3 linked regions of the Arabidopsis thaliana genome follow. The protein of the gene in region 2 purifies or fractionates together with the protein of the main gene of each other region. This does not show direct contact. Each region holds a gene or a part of one and is shown on either strand. Other genes may lie near its edges.

Region 1 (6,165 bases), on a different chromosome or scaffold from region 2:
GTAAACCAGGAAAATTACCAGGTTTTTTTACTGCATTATCTGTTTTGGTTATTGTGATAGAGAAGCTCTTGAGATTCTGAAAAATTGGCGAAACTATAAAATATAGGGAAAGTGATATCGGAGTCTTATGAGCTCGAGTATGGGCATGACCGTTTAGAGATGCATGTTGGCGCTGTTGAGCCACGCGAACGCGTCATTATCATTGATGATCTTGTTGCTACTGGCGGCACTCTTTCTGCCGCAATGAGCCTATTGGGTTTCTTTCTTTCTTCTTGTTTTCTTTTTCAGTTTTTAAAGAGAATTTTTTGGTCTTGAATTGTAATGTGATACAGTTTGACGTTTTACAGAGAGCCAAGGAGCTGAAGTTGTTGAGTGTGCTTGTGTTATTGGCTTGCCTGAAGTCAAGGTGAGTCACATTTATCTTACTTGTCTAAGAAGTTATCTCTGGTTTTGTTCTTTTGAAATGATTTCTAAAATGTAGTGATAGAGTTAGTTTTTTTGTTATAATCTCAACTCAAATTTGCTCATTGAGTTTGTGAAAATTTTGAATTGTTTTTAGGGGCAACACAAGCTCAAAGGGAAGCCGCTTTATGTGTTGGTGGAGCCTAGTGGATTAGATGAGTTCTGTTAGGATACATACCGGTTACTTCCGGTTCAGTTTTCTTTCCCTGCAGAGTTCATGTTCTTTTTTTCAAAATTTCTAGGGTTCCAACTTCTTGTATTCGTTCTCGTTTATTGATCTCTGTAGATTTTGAATTTTGATGTGTACTTTCCACGGCAGTGGTTGGTAAAAAACCGAGATACTGAAAAGAGTCTTTACATTTCCCGGTTTGGTGGAATTTCTGATGGATCACTAACTCATGTTAATCAGTTTATAATAACTGTAATCATTAAAAGGGTAAAGATACGTTCGTAATTTATGCGGGAAATCTAAAAAGTACAACTAGTAGGTTTACTAAATTTAATGCTGATATTACTGAGCACTGATAAAGTTGGTTGTATTCTACGACAAAACTATTCATTACTGCAATATTGGTCCATATTTTTGCTTCAGCACTGCTGCAAGTTTTTCTTTGTTTCTCCCTAAACTTAACAACTTACTTCACTGATTTCAAATTATAAATTGAAAATCGTTAATAAAGTTTTCATGATACAAATTATTACATAAGCAAACTACTGTATGTGTTATTTATTGAAGACTATAAAACAATAAAAGTGAAAGTACACAATGGCTTTCCTTACAAAGCTTTATTTGCTAATAAACAGAAGAGTCTGATGGATAACTTGAGAACTCAGCAGAGCTGGTTAGATCGCGAAATCGGATTAGGGTTTCGAAATCTCTGAATTGCAAGAGTAAAAATATCTGAGCTTCGTCCAAACGATTCCAAAGAGAGTGAAAGATATGGTTGAACTCAGTCTAAATTGGGTTTTGTTTTAATTAATGGGCCTACAATTTTGTTGGGTCCTTGAAACAAAAACATTGTTATTAAGGGAAATGAAATATCTTAACTAAACCAATTTGTTATCTATTGTGCTCTACTGTTCTGTTCGTATTGACTCGAACCCACTAAACCAAGACGAGCCCTGACCGTCATTGTCTAAATTGACTCGAACCCACTAAAGAAAAAAAGAAAAAAAAACTTAGATAATAATTGGCGCAGAAGGGCCGATTAATAAAAACTTTAGGCCCATTAAAGTAAAGCTTATTGTCAACCCTATCCAGTCTCCTTGTATATATTTATTTACGACACCAACGCGGCGTTGGTGATTCATTCTCTTCAGTCAGAGATTTCGAAACCCTAGTCGATTTCGAGATCCAACCAACTCTGCTCCTTATCTCAGGTAAAATTCTCGCTCGAGAACTCAATTGCTTATCCAAAGTTCCAATGGAAGATGCTTTCCTACTGAATCTTAGGTTAATGTTTTGGATTTGGAATCTTACCCGAAATTTCTCTGCAGCTTGTTGAATTTGCGAAGTATGGGAGACGCTAGAGACAACGAAGCCTACGAGGAGGAGCTCTTGGACTATGAAGAAGAAGACGAGAAGGTCCCAGATTCTGGAAACAAAGTTAACGGTGAAGCCGTGAAAAAGTGAGTTTTATGATTTCCTCGATCTGTTTCATGAGATAGTGGATGTTTAAATTTAGGGTTTTCTTAGATTACTGCTTGATAACAACCGACTAAGTTCTTCAATTATCTATGTGTTTGGTTAGTTGCTTAACTTTATGACAATTGACTAAGTTCTTCAATGCTAAAATTCCTGGAACCTACCCAATATTAGACGGTCATGTGTTTATCATCTTGTATTTTCTCTTTGTGACAGAGGGTACGTGGGAATACACAGTTCTGGATTCAGAGACTTCCTTTTAAAACCGGAGCTTCTCAGAGCTATTGTTGACTCTGGATTTGAACATCCATCTGAAGGTTATTACAATGAAATACACCCTACCTTTGACTTTTCTGCCTTGCCTTTCACCATTCTATTACCGAATGATATTGTATAATTTACAGAAGTGACTTCTCCATAAGATGTTTTAGTTGTCCGGAAACTTTTAATTATATGTACTTCGTCTAGTTTTGAGAAGATATGTTGGTTAAAGATATTTTATACTTTATCTTGGTCCTTTGCTTATCATCTAACTAAATTAAAAAAAGTTTGTGTTGAGGTCAAATTCTTTTTTATTTCCTGTTATAATGGTTTTTGTTTTCTTTGTTTATTAACGTTTCACTGATTACTTTTTCCAGGTAATAAACGATATTTCAATCTATTGGTTTGGAGTGAGCTTAAACATGTGCTAAAGCCACCAATTTAAAAGATATGGAGGTTATCATCTACTTATAAAGGCTTTCTTCGGTACAATTTTCTTTGGTTCTCCACCAGTGCAACATGAATGTATCCCTCAAGCTATCTTGGGCATGGATGTCATCTGCCAAGCAAAGTCTGGTATGGGGAAGACTGCTGTGTTTGTCCTGTCTACTCTACAACAGATTGAACCATCTCCTGGCCAGGTTTCTGCACTTGTCTTGTGCCATACAAGAGAGCTAGCTTACCAGGTATGACCTTCTTGTTTCACTCAGGTTCTTGGCTTATAGTTTTGTTGTACGTCTTCTTCCTCTAATGCTTTTTGCCTTGATGCTGACAATTACTTGCAGATCTGCAATGAGTTTGTGCGATTCAGTACCTATCTGCCTGATACAAAGGTTTCGGTGTTCTATGGTGGAGTCAACATTAAAATTCACAAAGACTTGCTGAAGAATGAATGTCCTCACATTGTTGTTGGTACCCCTGGTCGGGTGCTTGCACTTGCCAGGGAGAAAGATCTCTCTTTGAAGAATGTGAGGCATTTTATTCTTGATGAATGTGATAAAATGCTCGAGTCACTTGGTATGCTGATTTCTGACATCATTATTACATCGATCCCTGAATAATTTTATGTTTTAACACTTTAACTTTTTTTTTACCAGACATGCGAAGGGATGTGCAGGAGATTTTCAAGATGACTCCTCATGACAAACAAGTAATGATGTTCTCAGCAACGCTCAGCAAAGAGATACGCCCAGTCTGCAAAAAATTTATGCAAGATGTAATGTTCCATGGCCAATTCTCTCTCCCTTTGCAAGTCTTCTAGTTTTCAACTATTTTTAGCCTTCTATGAGTGATCATAGCATTAGTTGAGCGTCTTCTGCGGTTCTGCCCTGGAAAAGCGGCAACTGATCTCTCAATGGGTCTCAATCCAATAATGGTTGGGTAGTTTGTAGGGAACGAGAACTGTGAGTGTGAGACTCTGTAGCTTTGGTATGGTTTCTATGGGTGATTATAGCATTATTTGGGCATCTTCTGCGGTTCTGCCCTGGAAAAGCTGCAACTGATCTCTCGATGGGTCTCAATCCACTAATGCTTTGGGTAGTTTGTAGGGATCGAGAACTGTGAGTGTGAGCCTCTGTAGCATTGGTATGAATGAGTGACCATTGCACAACAGGATCTTCTTTCGTCATTACCTTTTATTCAGTTTCAATTTCTTTGCAATTCTAGCAGTGCTGGGTGGGTTTTGGGTGGGGTACTGTGTTGTCCCAAGGTTTCATTGTGATTGTATGGGCCTTAATGTTCCGAGCAATATCGCTGTATCATAGCAAAACTCACATCTATGAAGAGAACCTGGTGGACGAGGATCTCAGATCAGGGGTTTTACATCCATCTTCACTTTTGTAGTGTAAATCATTTCCTGAGAAAAGCTTGCTAATTATTACCTGATATCTATTCCTTTCAGCCAATGGAAATATATGTCGATGATGAAGCCAAGTTGACTCTTCATGGGCTTGTCCAGGTACTCTTATCTGGTGTTAGGTCTTCTTATTCAATGGAAATATAGTTTGTTGTTTGATACTTAAAAGACCTTTTACTGTCATACTGTAACAGCACTATATCAAACTGAGCGAGATGGAGAAAAACCGGAAGTTGAATGACCTTCTTGATGCGTTGGACTTCAATCAAGTTGTCATTTTTGTGAAGAGCGTGAGCAGGGCTGCTGAGCTGAACAAGTTACTGGTGGAATGCAATTTCCCCTCAATATGCATCCACTCTGGAATGTCTCAAGAAGAGAGGTCTGTACATTCTCTTCAAAATTCAATGTTTTTGAAGGACCCTACCTGCTCTTAAAGCCCTCATGGAGAGGAGTCCAATTCTTAAGGCTAATACGATATGTTATGTAGGTTGACTCGATACAAAAGTTTCAAGGAAGGGCACAAAAGGATCCTTGTGGCGACTGACTTGGTAGGAAGAGGGATTGACATTGAGCGTGTCAACATTGTCATCAACTATGACATGCCAGATTCTGCTGATACCTATCTTCACAGGGTAAGTATATAATACTGAAATTTATTATTTGATTGTTGATCTCACTGAAAGGGCTCTTGTAACTTTACCGTTTTGCTGTGTATGGTATAGGTTGGCAGAGCTGGTAGATTTGGAACCAAGGGTCTTGCAATCACATTTGTTGCATCTGCTTCAGATTCAGAGGTTCTTAACCAGGTATGGTGTTCAATCTTTGTAATAAGTCCACGGAAAACTCCTCTTGAAATTGAGTTGGATATTTAGTAAAGTGGCAATTATAAATCTTGGACAGGTACAAGAGAGGTTTGAGGTTGATATAAAGGAACTTCCGGAGCAGATTGATACTTCAACCTACAGTAAGTGTGAAATCCCTTACCAATTGTTTGTTTAAAAGCTTGGTTTTGTCTGGTTGTGATATTAATGTTGTTTCTTCTTCTTTCTTTGTTCAGTGCCTTCTTAAACAAGTAGCACGTCCCTCAGGAAAGAAGCTCTTCAGATTTCAACCTTGTAGGTGTTCGAAGGGTGATGGGGGTTCACAACTATCTCTCGCTCCGTTTGTTTTAGTGTTTTCTATGACGACATTTTTTTCCATATGTTTAGAACGTCTGTTGTACTCTTTAAAGGAGATTCGAGTCACTCTCCAAATCGCACAGTTAAAAGCTGTCCAGTTTTTTGTACAAGAGATTATTATGTTTGAAATATCAGGATTTAGTCTCGACCTGATTACTGTGTTCCTTAGGAATCGATCTATTATCAATTTATCATGGTGTTGCTAAGAATCGTCATTCATCAGCGTTACTTCCTTCATGTGATGCTTTTTTTTTATAACACATTTCATTTAGTGTGGAAGAGATACAACACGTATATATGGTTACTTTATATATTGAAAAGTTTATATCCAAGGAACAATGGTTAGGGGAAAAAGGCAACTTGAAGGAGTCAATGTGTCCTTGCCTATTTGTCTTTTGACTTTTTAAGAGGCAAGTCTGTTGCCTTTGCATGAGAAAAAACTCAAAAAACAACACGCAAAAGAACATAATAATTAGGTTCATTCAGAAAGACTACGATCAGAGCCTATGCAGACTTAATCCTCGAGAATAGTGCAGCTCTTCGGGTGGGTATTGTTTTTGAGGTGATCAGATTTCTACGGTGAACCAAAGTTGGGTCGACTTCCACAATAATATCTACTTCATTTCGATCTCCAACATTAACTTCATCATTCAGAAGCTGATCTTGATCATCGGCTTCATTTAATGCTGGACCAGGTGGCTCAAGGACTTGATCATCAATTGGCGGACTAGTCGGAGCTCTCATGTTATCATCTGTTGGCTGAT
Region 2 (5,402 bases):
GTTCCCTACATTCCTTCTTAAAAAATCAGTTTCTATCAGAATTTGATTCAGGACAGTTAACATAATGTCCATATGAATATCCCATTTCAACCAATATAATAAGAATTTGCACAAAACAAAGGAGTGCTTTTAACTCCAACAATGTAGCAGAATCCCTTTACATAGGTGTATCCCCTTTCAAAATACAAGCATTCTGGTCCAATGCAGGAAAAGGACGAGACAAGAAAAATTTCATGAAACAAGGAATACTGAGACATTCATCTTCTGATTTTTAAATCTGTAAGCTATTCATTTCATTACTTGTAGTTCTTTTTCAAGTTCAGCAAAGGAAATTTTAGTACCTCAGGTGTCTTTAGAGCGGCAGGATCCTTTGGTGAAGCAGATTCCGTTTCGCTTTCTCTATGAACCGAACTAGACTGGGCATTAACAATAATAGGACTATCCCCAGGTTTGGGTACAGCTTCCAACTTCACACTTTCTGCCTCAGAAATAATTTCTGATGGCATGTCCGGCTTAGCTCCTGAATCTTCAGATGCAGAAATAGGCAAGTTTATCTCTGCTCTATCAATGACAGTTTCTTGAGGTGTCTCCTCTTGGTTAGAAGAAATATATGTAAAACGGTCAGATGATAGATCAGACTCGGGTTGCAGTTCTATGTCACTCTGCACTCCCTCGGAAGCTTCAGAATGAGTAACTTGAGGTTGCGTTTCAACTTTTCCATCTTTTTCAGTAGAATCTTCAACACCGGAAGGTACATTCAAATGATGAGCCTCCTCCAGCTTTTCAGTTAGAGCATCAGAATGAATTCGCTCACTTAATTTCTGCTGTTCTTTCCCCAGATATTGATCCAAATAGCCAGTCTGATACGCTACCAGAAAAGCCCCAGCGATTGCAACACCTCCTATAACCACTTTTGAAGAATTTCCTTTAGTAGGAGGAGGAGGAGTCACTTTTGGAGGATCAACTTTTGAGGCATCTGGTTTCCCAACGGGTTTAGCTCCAGGGAGACCATTTTTACCAGATGTAGATGCATTTCTCGAAGAGCTCAAATGAAACCTCTGATGCATAACATAACACAATCAATCCAAGAGAGTACTCACAAGACGCTAACTAAGAATCACAACTAAATTCATAACTCACCTGAGCTCCCAAATTCCTCGGGAATCTCTTTATTGACAAACGAGAAGACAGCTCGAGAACCGACCTAAGCAAAAGAGCAACAACATAAACCACATTCGGTATGATTCACAAGAGAATCAAAGTCACAAATAGCTCTCAATTTAGAGGAATCAATAAAATCAGACCCGAAAGCTACGCAACGAGATTGATGGAACAAGAGAAGCCAAAATTCAACAAGATGGATTGAGATAATAAACTTAGGGTTCAGGAAACATACTTCCGAAGCATTATCGCGTCGCGTCTCTGGTGATACAAACGCCGAACGAGAGAGCGAAGATGTTACGACGGACGGAGAAGACTCGGAGCCTCCGGTGAGTAAAATAATAGTATTCTCTGAAAACCCCAAAAGCATTGAAACGACGCCGTACAAAATTACTTGAGAAAAAGGGTAATTTAGACATTTCACAATACAATGCGACCCATTATCACTTCAGGTCCTCGAGTTTTTCCCCAATATCAAAACCACTCGACGAACAAGAACCCTAGAATTCGCCTCCTCTTTCCAAAATTCCCAATTTTTGTAATGACGGGATAGAAAAATTCCCAATGTCCGCTTTATCTTTCATTCTCGATTAGAATTCTTCAACCAAAGGTCACTCTCTCTCCGTTCCATTGCTTCTGGATTTCGTTTTTAAGGTTTGCGTTCTTCTTTTTCTTCTTCGTCTTAAGAGAGTAAAATCTGGTGTTGAAGAATCTATTTTGAGTCGGAAATTTGATAAATTTGTAATCTTCCGTACTGGGTTTTGATTGTTGTCTTGTCTCTCTAATTGTTTCATTCTTCTTATGCTACGAATTTAGGGTTTTACATTTTTCCTGCCTTCTTTTACCCATCAGAGGAAGTTTCAAGCCATTTTGTTGTAAGTCATCTTTAAACTTCTAGCTCTTTTGGATTGGGTTTGTTAAAGATTTAAGCTTTGGTTTTAAATTATATAGATTTGCTGCGTTGCTTTGCTAATTTGTCTGATTTAGGTTTTGTCCTCTGCGATGGGTTTCTCTAATTTTATATTCAATATTTTTTCAGAATCAGCTCTCTCATAAGCTAAGATGTCGTCATCGCCTTTTCCAGTCTTGGACAACCGACCAATTGATAAGTGGAAGGTTACGGAATTGAAAGAAGAGCTTAAAAGACGGAGACTAACAACAAGAGGCTTGAAGGAGGAATTGGTTAGGCGTCTTGATGAAGCACTTCGTGCTGAGCAAGAAGAGTCTGAAAGGATCAATAGTGCTACTGTTGCTGCTGCTGAAAAAGCCAATCAAGAGCCTCAGATGTTTCCTGTTACTGTAGGTGATCGTAATCAAACCACTCCTGTTACTCCTGTTGAAGCGGCATTTAGCACTGAGACAACTCCTGTTACAGCTGAGAAAACCCCAGAACCAACTCAGACCAAGATAACAACTGAAGCTTCAGCTGGTGTTGAGACTACACCAGCCCCGGTGTTTTCAGAACCAGAGGTTAACGCTGTGCCATTCGCTAGTGATGAAGATGAGAAAGAGAAAGTTGATGATGTTAGAGACATAGCTGGTCTTGATAGTTCAGTGGTTGCACGTGATGCAGCAGTTGTGCAAGTGGCGTCTAGTGAGCACAAATCTGAGAATAATGAACCATTTAGTGGGTTGGATGGTGGGGATTCTAAGGCTCAACCATCAGAGGCAGTGCTTGAAAAATCTGCTATGTACAACCAGGTATCTGAGGTCATCCCCGTTACAGGGTTTGAGGTAAAATCTGATTGTATTTCTACTGATTCTGTGTCAAATAATGAAAAAATAGAACTAAAGGATAACAAAATTGCTGATAATGTCAAATTAGAACAAAATGTTAATAAGTTCCAAGAGCCATCAACAGTCGTTGGCGAATCGCATCCAATGGATGTCGAGGAGCCACTTGAGCAGAAGACATCTGTTGGAGGTGGGGATGACAGCAATGCTGCAAACGCAGATATGATCAAAGAAAATAATATTATCGATGCAGGCGACTCAGAAAAGTTGAATTTAGATAGAAGTTCTGGTGATGAGTCTATGGAGGATGAGCCGGAGACAAAGCAATCCGAGTCAATTACATCTGATGATAAGAGTGCAAAAATTGAAATGCTTTCTAAGGAGGAAAGCCGTGCTGATATGGATGCGGGGAAAGGGAAATCCCCTGAAAATAAAAGTCACCCACTGGTGGCTTCTGACAAAAGAAAGCTTCCTGCTAATGGTAATTCCTCTCATATTCATTTGTTTTATTAATCAAATCTTTTACTGTGTTTAATCTGTAATGTTGGTGTTTGAGGCATATACTGGTAGTGTTTAATAGTTGTTTCATCTTTGTCGTTTATGGCTACTTCTTATATATATTGGCTTTTGAAGCATCTGTTTTGAAATTCTAGCTATGTATGCTGAAATGTCTTTCTTTGTAACTCAATGTAGATCAAGAAGCTGTTGGAAACAATGAACCTGCAAAGAGGCGCCGATGGAACTCTAATAGTATTAAAGTTCCTGAAGCACAGATCACTAATAGTGCTACACCCACTACAACACCAAGGTCGACTGGTCTGAAGCGCGACTTCTCAAGGTCTGACTCTTCGGTTAGTGAAGATGGACCCAAGGAACGTGTGGGTATGTAATACAGCACCCCCTCTATGTATGTTTCCATCTCTTATTCATTGTCTTAAAGCTTTGTTTGATAGATGTGTTCAATATTTATTGGCAGTTCCTCCATCTCCAAAGGAGCCTACAAATTCCCTCAGGATTGACCGTTTCCTTAGGCCGTTCACACTGAAAGCTGTTCAGGAGCTCCTGGGTAAAACCGGAAATGTCACTAGTTTCTGGATGGACCACATTAAGACCCACTGCTATGTATCGGTAAGACCGCTTCTTCAAATCCTTTTGATTTACAAAAATGTTGATTCTGTTTGTGTACTTTCGAATTCAATTATCTAAATATCCAAAGAATTTTGTGTAACATGAGTGAGTTGTGACGTGACTGCAGTATCCCTCGGTTGAAGAAGCAGCAGCAACAAGAGAAGCAGTGTATAACCTCCAGTGGCCACCTAATGGAGGCCGCCATCTGATAGCTGAATTTGTTAGAGCAGAAGAAGTAAAAGAAAAACTGGAAGCTCCTCTGCCTCCTCAGCCTCAGCATCAGCCACAAGCTCAGACTCTTTCGCGGCCACCTCCAACTGCTCTTCCACCACCACCACCTCTGGCCAAACCACCTCACGTTGTAGAACGTCTTCCTCTGCCTCCCCCTCCTCCTATAGCCCCTGAGGAACAAGAACCTCCCATTGTCACTCTTGATGATCTATTCAAGAAGACAAAAGCGATCCCCAGGATATATTACTTACCCTTGTCAGAGGAGCAAGTTGCAGCTAAACTTGCAGCGAATAATAACAAGTGATCTTGCTGGTTCTTGGGAATTTCAGGTCATTGTTTTCGTAGCAGGCTCTTAGGAATTTAGCTCAGTGCGGACAAAAGTTGAGTACTCTGTTGAGTTTGGTTTGTTATTTTTAATGTAGAACGGATGGGAAGACTCTTCTTATGTTTAGTAGACTTTGGTTTGAACCTGTGATGAACTAACAGAGTTGTTTGGCTCTCTGTGTGTTAGATCTTTTCCTCTCCATTTCTTCTTTTACCTTTTCATGGATCTATGAACAATTGTTGGGTCAAAAATAAAGTAATAGCAGCCCAATATTACCAAATTTCAAATCTTGCAACTTACTTTTAGATCATGTGTCAAACCTAGTAATGGGCGTGTGTCAATGGAATAACCTTTTAACACTTGATAACATAAACACACAAATTGTACACTTTCACAAAACTACAAAGACGACCAAGATACGTTTTAGACACATCACACATACATACATAATTACATGCAAACACAAAGGACAAATACTTGGGAGAGAAGGCTCTGAAGATCCTTTTCAAGAATTTCATTACTTTGAACTTCACTTTTGTGATTTGAACTCTACTTGTTCATAAGACAAACGAGAAGGATAGATTTTATTAGAAATCCTTCCGGACGCAAAAGATGTTTCGACAGGGAGTCTATGAGCTTCATCGTGGTCGAAGTTTCTCTCCTTTTCTAGCTTTTTCATCTTCTCCTTCTGCTTCTTCTGCATGACTTGTAGGTGTGCGTAACTTGCTCCAATGGACGACATTACTTTTTAGTGTTGGTTAACAAAATAAATGTGTTAAGAATAAGATGTGGTTAAGATTTTCGAAGTGAAGGTTGAGTTTGT
Region 3 (5,094 bases), on a different chromosome or scaffold from region 2:
TAAAATTAAAGATGAAGTATATATTGTTCTTACTTCGGAAAAATTGCATCACATGATGTTAGTCACTTTATATGATATCTTGAGGATTTAACGTTTTTAAATATTTTTGTAGTCCATGTTACATAGTGTAAAACTGTAAAGTAACAAAATGCGTATTCTTCTTAAATCTCACATAGTTCTGCCATGTATATATAATCCCTCTGCATGGCACTTCAAATGAGAATATTGAATGGAGAGTCGGAGACCATATGAAATCATGGATCACGTTCATGATAGAGATCTATATATCCCAATTCACATATATACTATATATATTCTATAATATATCATCTAGGAATACAGATGAAACTGTTACAGAGAATAACAAAATTTCGTGATAATTAAATCTAATATTCATTTATTATTCTTAATACTTTGAATATATATGGAAAAAACATTTATCTAAAATAATTCTTCTATTTAAATAGGGGACTTCAGATTTTTAAAATTTGAGTATTTTGCTTGAAGAAATGAGTATTTTTTTATAAAACTTTCCTTATGTTTTAAGATGAATTTTTCATCTTGTAACTAGACATATGATGTAATTCCAATTTCTTTTACTTTTATTTTTTATTATATATGTAATTCCAATTTCATTTGGTTTTTGCGGTTAGTTTACGAATGAATTCTACATATTACAAAAATATCATAAAATACATATAATGATCTATATTTTAATGGGGTTTTCCTCCCTTGGTTGCTCGCATGATCTATCTTGCCATCACGTCTTTTTGTCTCCCGATCCCTATAATATAGGTATGTGACAATGTGTGTCTATCTTTTTCTTTCTCTTTTAAGTTTTTAACCAATCCAATTTTTGTCAACAACACAATCCAATGAATTCTAACTAATATACTATGAAAGTGGCATATTAATATAAGTTTATATGAATGAACGAGAAAATGCACTTAGACATAAAAGAGGGAAAGAGAGATACATATGCAATGTCAACGTTGCTCAGCTTCACAAACCCATGTTATGAATCTTTTTCTTAGGTACATCAAGTCGTATGATTCTTTTTAAACAAACCATCAAGTATGATTCATTATATGGTTATATCCCAAATAAGAAAATATATAGATAAATACATTTAAATATTGCATGATGTCATGCACCAAAAAGCAACAATATATAATCAACATGATATAGAACTTCGACCCCAACTCCTCCTTCTTACTTGAACTTGTTTTTGGAATTGATATTATTTTTGGGTAAAATTAATGGTTAATTCATTTGAGTCAGGTTTATTTTCTTTTGAATTCAGGTCGGACTTTGAATTTCTTTTTCTTTTCTTAGTCAATATCATCATGGTTAGATGCGAACCATGACCGGGACAATATCGGCTATGTATTTTCTGTTTTGGTACATGTCACTATGTCACCTTGTTTAATTTTAGTTGTTCTGTTTGTGTAACTACGAGTCTACGAATACATTGTCTAATGAAATGTGTTGTTATGTTATATCACATGTCATATATAGTGTAACTCACAAAAGATGTATCATGTCATTTTCTTTATTTAAATCGTGTTACGTAATGTGAAGAACTTAACAATATATTAGCAATTTTAATACATCTGAAAATCATTCAAAAAATCGAAAAACAGAACAAAATTTTGTTATCGTAAACAACCAAGTTAAATGATAGATGAACACAATAGATCAAGGATAAAAAAAAGTTGAGATTTGAGATGAATTTGTTTTTTTTTTGTTTTTGTCACTGAAATCTTTATTGAAAGCCCATTAACTTACAGATAATAGGCCCAATAAACAAAATTTACACGCCGTCTAAACCCGATTTCCGACGACCTACAGAAAAACTTCGGTCGGTCAGTGACCCTTTAAAGGAAAGCTATTAGCGATTGATTCGAGAGATGTGCAAAGCTTGTTGATTTGAGGCTCTCTCTCTACTAGGGTTTGTTGATTTGAGTTTTCTATTCCTCCTATACGTGTTCTTCGATTCTCCTGGGATTTTTTTTTGAAAAAGGGAATAGAAGAAGAAGTTGCTGAATTCTCGATATGGAATCCATCATGGAAGAAGCTGATAGTTACATTGAGTATGTATCAGTGGCGGAGCGGAGAGCGATTGCAGCGCAGAAGATACTTCAGCGGAAGGGAAAAGCTTCGGAATTGGAAGAAGAAGCTGACAAGGAAAAGCTCGCTGAAGCTAAACCTAGTTTACTTGTTCAAGCAACTCAGCTCAAGCGAGATGTACCCGAAGTTAGTGCTACTGAGCAAATCATCTTACAAGAGAAAGAGATGATGGAGCATTTATCTGATAAGAAGACGCTTATGTCTGTTCGTGAACTTGCCAAAGGTATCACTTATACAGAGCCTCTCTTAACTGGGTGGAAACCTCCTTTGCATATTAGGAAGATGTCTAGTAAGCAGAGAGATTTGATTAGGAAGCAATGGCATATTATTGTTAATGGTGATGATATTCCTCCTCCTATTAAGAACTTTAAGGATATGAAGTTTCCTAGACCTGTTCTCGATACTCTCAAGGAGAAAGGTATTGTGCAGCCTACTCCTATTCAAGTTCAGGGTCTTCCTGTGATTTTGGCTGGGAGAGATATGATTGGGATTGCTTTCACTGGTTCCGGAAAGACTTTGGTTTTCGTGCTTCCCATGATCATGATTGCTCTCCAAGAAGAGATGATGATGCCTATTGCTGCTGGTGAAGGTCCCATTGGGCTTATTGTTTGCCCTTCTAGAGAGCTTGCTAGGCAGACTTATGAAGTGGTTGAGCAGTTTGTGGCTCCTTTGGTTGAGGCTGGGTACCCGCCATTGAGGTCGTTGCTATGTATTGGAGGTATTGATATGAGATCCCAGTTGGAGGTTGTCAAGAGAGGTGTCCATATTGTTGTTGCAACCCCTGGGAGGTTAAAGGATATGCTCGCCAAGAAAAAGATGAGCTTAGATGCTTGCAGGTATGATTTCTTTGGTTCTTTTCAATATGATTAATCAACCTGATTGTAATATATGTTTGCGTCTACTGTCTTGGCTGCCTTGTTTGATCTTATATCCTCGTTTTCTGAGTTTTGCACTTGGCTAGATTCTTGGGGATATCTGCTTATTGTGCCTGTTTTGTTGTTTCTGGTTAACGGGATAGATCAATAGGATTGTCTAGTGTCTGTTAGCTACTTAGCGCTTCATTGCTATATATGTTCTTTATTGTGTGATTCTATCGGATTTTTTCTCTCTGAATAAATTTTCCGCACTGGTGTTTCTTTCTGAATGCATCTTTCTTGTCTTTGGAGTCTTGAGACTGTGTCATTTAATTTCAAAATCTTGAGAATGTTAGATGGCAATGATGTTTACCTTCCTTTTTTTCCTTTTTTTAGGTACCTGACACTAGATGAGGCAGATAGGTTGGTTGATTTGGGTTTCGAAGATGACATAAGGGAAGTCTTTGACCACTTTAAGTCTCAACGTCAAACACTATTGTTCTCTGCCACAATGCCCACAAAGATTCAAATCTTTGCCAGAAGTGCTCTGGTGAAACCTGTGACAGTTAATGTAGGAAGAGCTGGAGCTGCGAATCTGGATGTGATCCAGGAGGTAGAATACGTCAAACAAGAAGCAAAGATTGTTTACCTCCTCGAGTGTCTACAGAAAACCTCTCCGCCGGTTTTGATATTCTGTGAGAACAAAGCTGATGTTGATGATATTCACGAGTACTTGTTACTGAAAGGAGTGGAAGCAGTGGCCATCCATGGAGGAAAAGATCAAGAAGACAGAGAGTACGCAATCTCTTCGTTTAAAGCTGGGAAAAAAGATGTGTTGGTTGCGACTGATGTTGCTTCAAAGGGTCTAGATTTCCCTGATATACAACACGTAATCAACTACGACATGCCAGCAGAGATTGAGAACTATGTGCATAGGATAGGACGAACAGGTCGGTGTGGTAAAACTGGGATAGCAACGACGTTTATAAACAAGAATCAAAGCGAAACCACTCTGCTGGATTTGAAACACTTGTTGCAAGAAGCTAAACAGAGGATTCCACCTGTCCTTGCTGAGCTGAATGATCCAATGGAAGAAGCAGAGACCATTGCTAATGCAAGTGGTGTCAAGGGTTGTGCCTATTGTGGTGGTCTTGGACATCGTATCCGAGACTGTCCAAAACTTGAGCACCAGAAGAGTGTCGCCATTTCTAACTCAAGAAAAGATTATTTTGGCTCGGGTGGCTACAGAGGAGAAATATAATCTTGTTTTGTTCCCTTTGCTAGTTATCTCATCTTAGCTGTTACCGAACTGTGATGTTTGTGATGTTTATCTTCCATATGTCACGCTTTTTACACTGAGTCGAGTTCTATCATGTCAAAATATTTCTTAGTTAATATATATGGTCGGATTCTTGAACTAAATTTTGTACACAATGTGCATGCGGTAAGGTGCAAGGTCTTTCGAATTGTATCCCTAAGGTTGCTTTTGAGTTTAGTTGTTCATTTTGGTGTCTCTTCTTTCTGTTGTTATTGTTACAAGTGCCCCTTTACACCGTTGGGTTGTATTGAAGATACATTTTCATATCAGCGCTGAAAGGTAACGTTTTTTTTTTATGGGGAAAAAGGTATAGACTATTAATTACATCATAATGATGTTTACAATGAGAAAGAGTAATATCATCTCCAATCTCCAATGGTTACATCTCGAATTTTTGGATACTATAATATGTTTGCCATGTTCTTTTTTTGGCAACATTGTCATGTTCACTATAAGACTTTTCTAGTTTCCAGTCTCATTTGGCTTTTTCACTTGGGTCACTAACTATGCACAAAAGCTTCATATAAAACCACATTCACATGCATGTTGTTATATCTCTGGACCAGATGCGAACAGAGGTATAAGGCCACGCAATACTTGGGCTGATAATTGGTGAGCCTCAAAGATCTCTCCGTCCAAATTCCACACACTCTCTTCCCCAAATGATGTAAACGTGAAAGCTCGCGTCTGCATTACCAAATATATTTTGATCAGGACCCAACCAAGTTAAGAAGATTAGAAAAGGAAAATGTTTTACAAACCTTGTGATATTCCACAAACTCGAAGTTCAAA

The links. Proteins that work in one complex are often made in the same cells at the same time.
Region 1: the proteins of AT4G39680 (region 2) and UAP56a purify together in Arabidopsis thaliana (affinity purification with mass spectrometry, with the first as the bait; one large-scale study listed by BioGRID). This does not show direct contact.
Region 3: the proteins of AT4G39680 (region 2) and AT5G51280 purify together in Arabidopsis thaliana (affinity purification with mass spectrometry, with the first as the bait; one large-scale study listed by BioGRID). This does not show direct contact.

What each region holds. Positions count from the first base shown.
Region 1 is NC_003076.8:3,551,356-3,557,520, forward strand, and holds UAP56a (DEAD/DEAH box RNA helicase family protein), read left to right. Parts: upstream 1-1,740; 5' UTR 1,741-1,842; intron 1,843-1,959; 5' UTR 1,960-1,978; coding exon 1,979-2,091; intron 2,092-2,323; coding exon 2,324-2,424; intron 2,425-2,745; exon of another isoform or gene 2,746-2,881; coding exon 2,882-3,054; intron 3,055-3,153; coding exon 3,154-3,385; intron 3,386-3,465; coding exon 3,466-3,584; intron 3,585-4,268; coding exon 4,269-4,325; intron 4,326-4,417; coding exon 4,418-4,602; intron 4,603-4,710; coding exon 4,711-4,855; intron 4,856-4,945; coding exon 4,946-5,029; intron 5,030-5,123; coding exon 5,124-5,187; intron 5,188-5,280; coding exon 5,281-5,291; 3' UTR 5,292-5,663; downstream 5,664-6,165. Other genes in the region: APT5 (adenine phosphoribosyltransferase 5), read left to right, coding at 1-21, 107-256, 348-406, 560-631; GLR2.6 (glutamate receptor 2.6), read right to left, coding at 5,906-6,165. UniProt on the Arabidopsis thaliana protein: ATP-dependent RNA helicase involved in pre-mRNA splicing. Required for the export of mRNA out of the nucleus. In addition to ssRNA and dsRNA, binds dsDNA, but not ssDNA.
Region 2 is NC_003075.7:18,413,760-18,419,161, reverse strand, and holds AT4G39680 (SAP domain-containing protein), read left to right. Parts: upstream 1-1,553; 5' UTR 1,554-1,815; intron 1,816-1,977; 5' UTR 1,978-2,036; intron 2,037-2,200; 5' UTR 2,201-2,223; coding exon 2,224-3,376; intron 3,377-3,588; coding exon 3,589-3,777; intron 3,778-3,871; coding exon 3,872-4,023; intron 4,024-4,150; coding exon 4,151-4,558; 3' UTR 4,559-4,856; downstream 4,857-5,402. Other genes in the region: AT4G39690 (MICOS complex subunit), read right to left, coding at 342-1,058, 1,141-1,204, 1,397-1,407; AT4G39675 (uncharacterized protein), read right to left, coding at 5,109-5,321.
Region 3 is NC_003076.8:20,839,401-20,844,494, forward strand, and holds AT5G51280 (DEAD-box protein abstrakt), read left to right. Parts: upstream 1-1,838; 5' UTR 1,839-2,055; coding exon 2,056-2,966; intron 2,967-3,380; coding exon 3,381-4,245; 3' UTR 4,246-4,592; downstream 4,593-5,094. Other genes in the region: ACD5 (Diacylglycerol kinase family protein), read right to left, coding at 4,852-4,989, 5,064-5,094.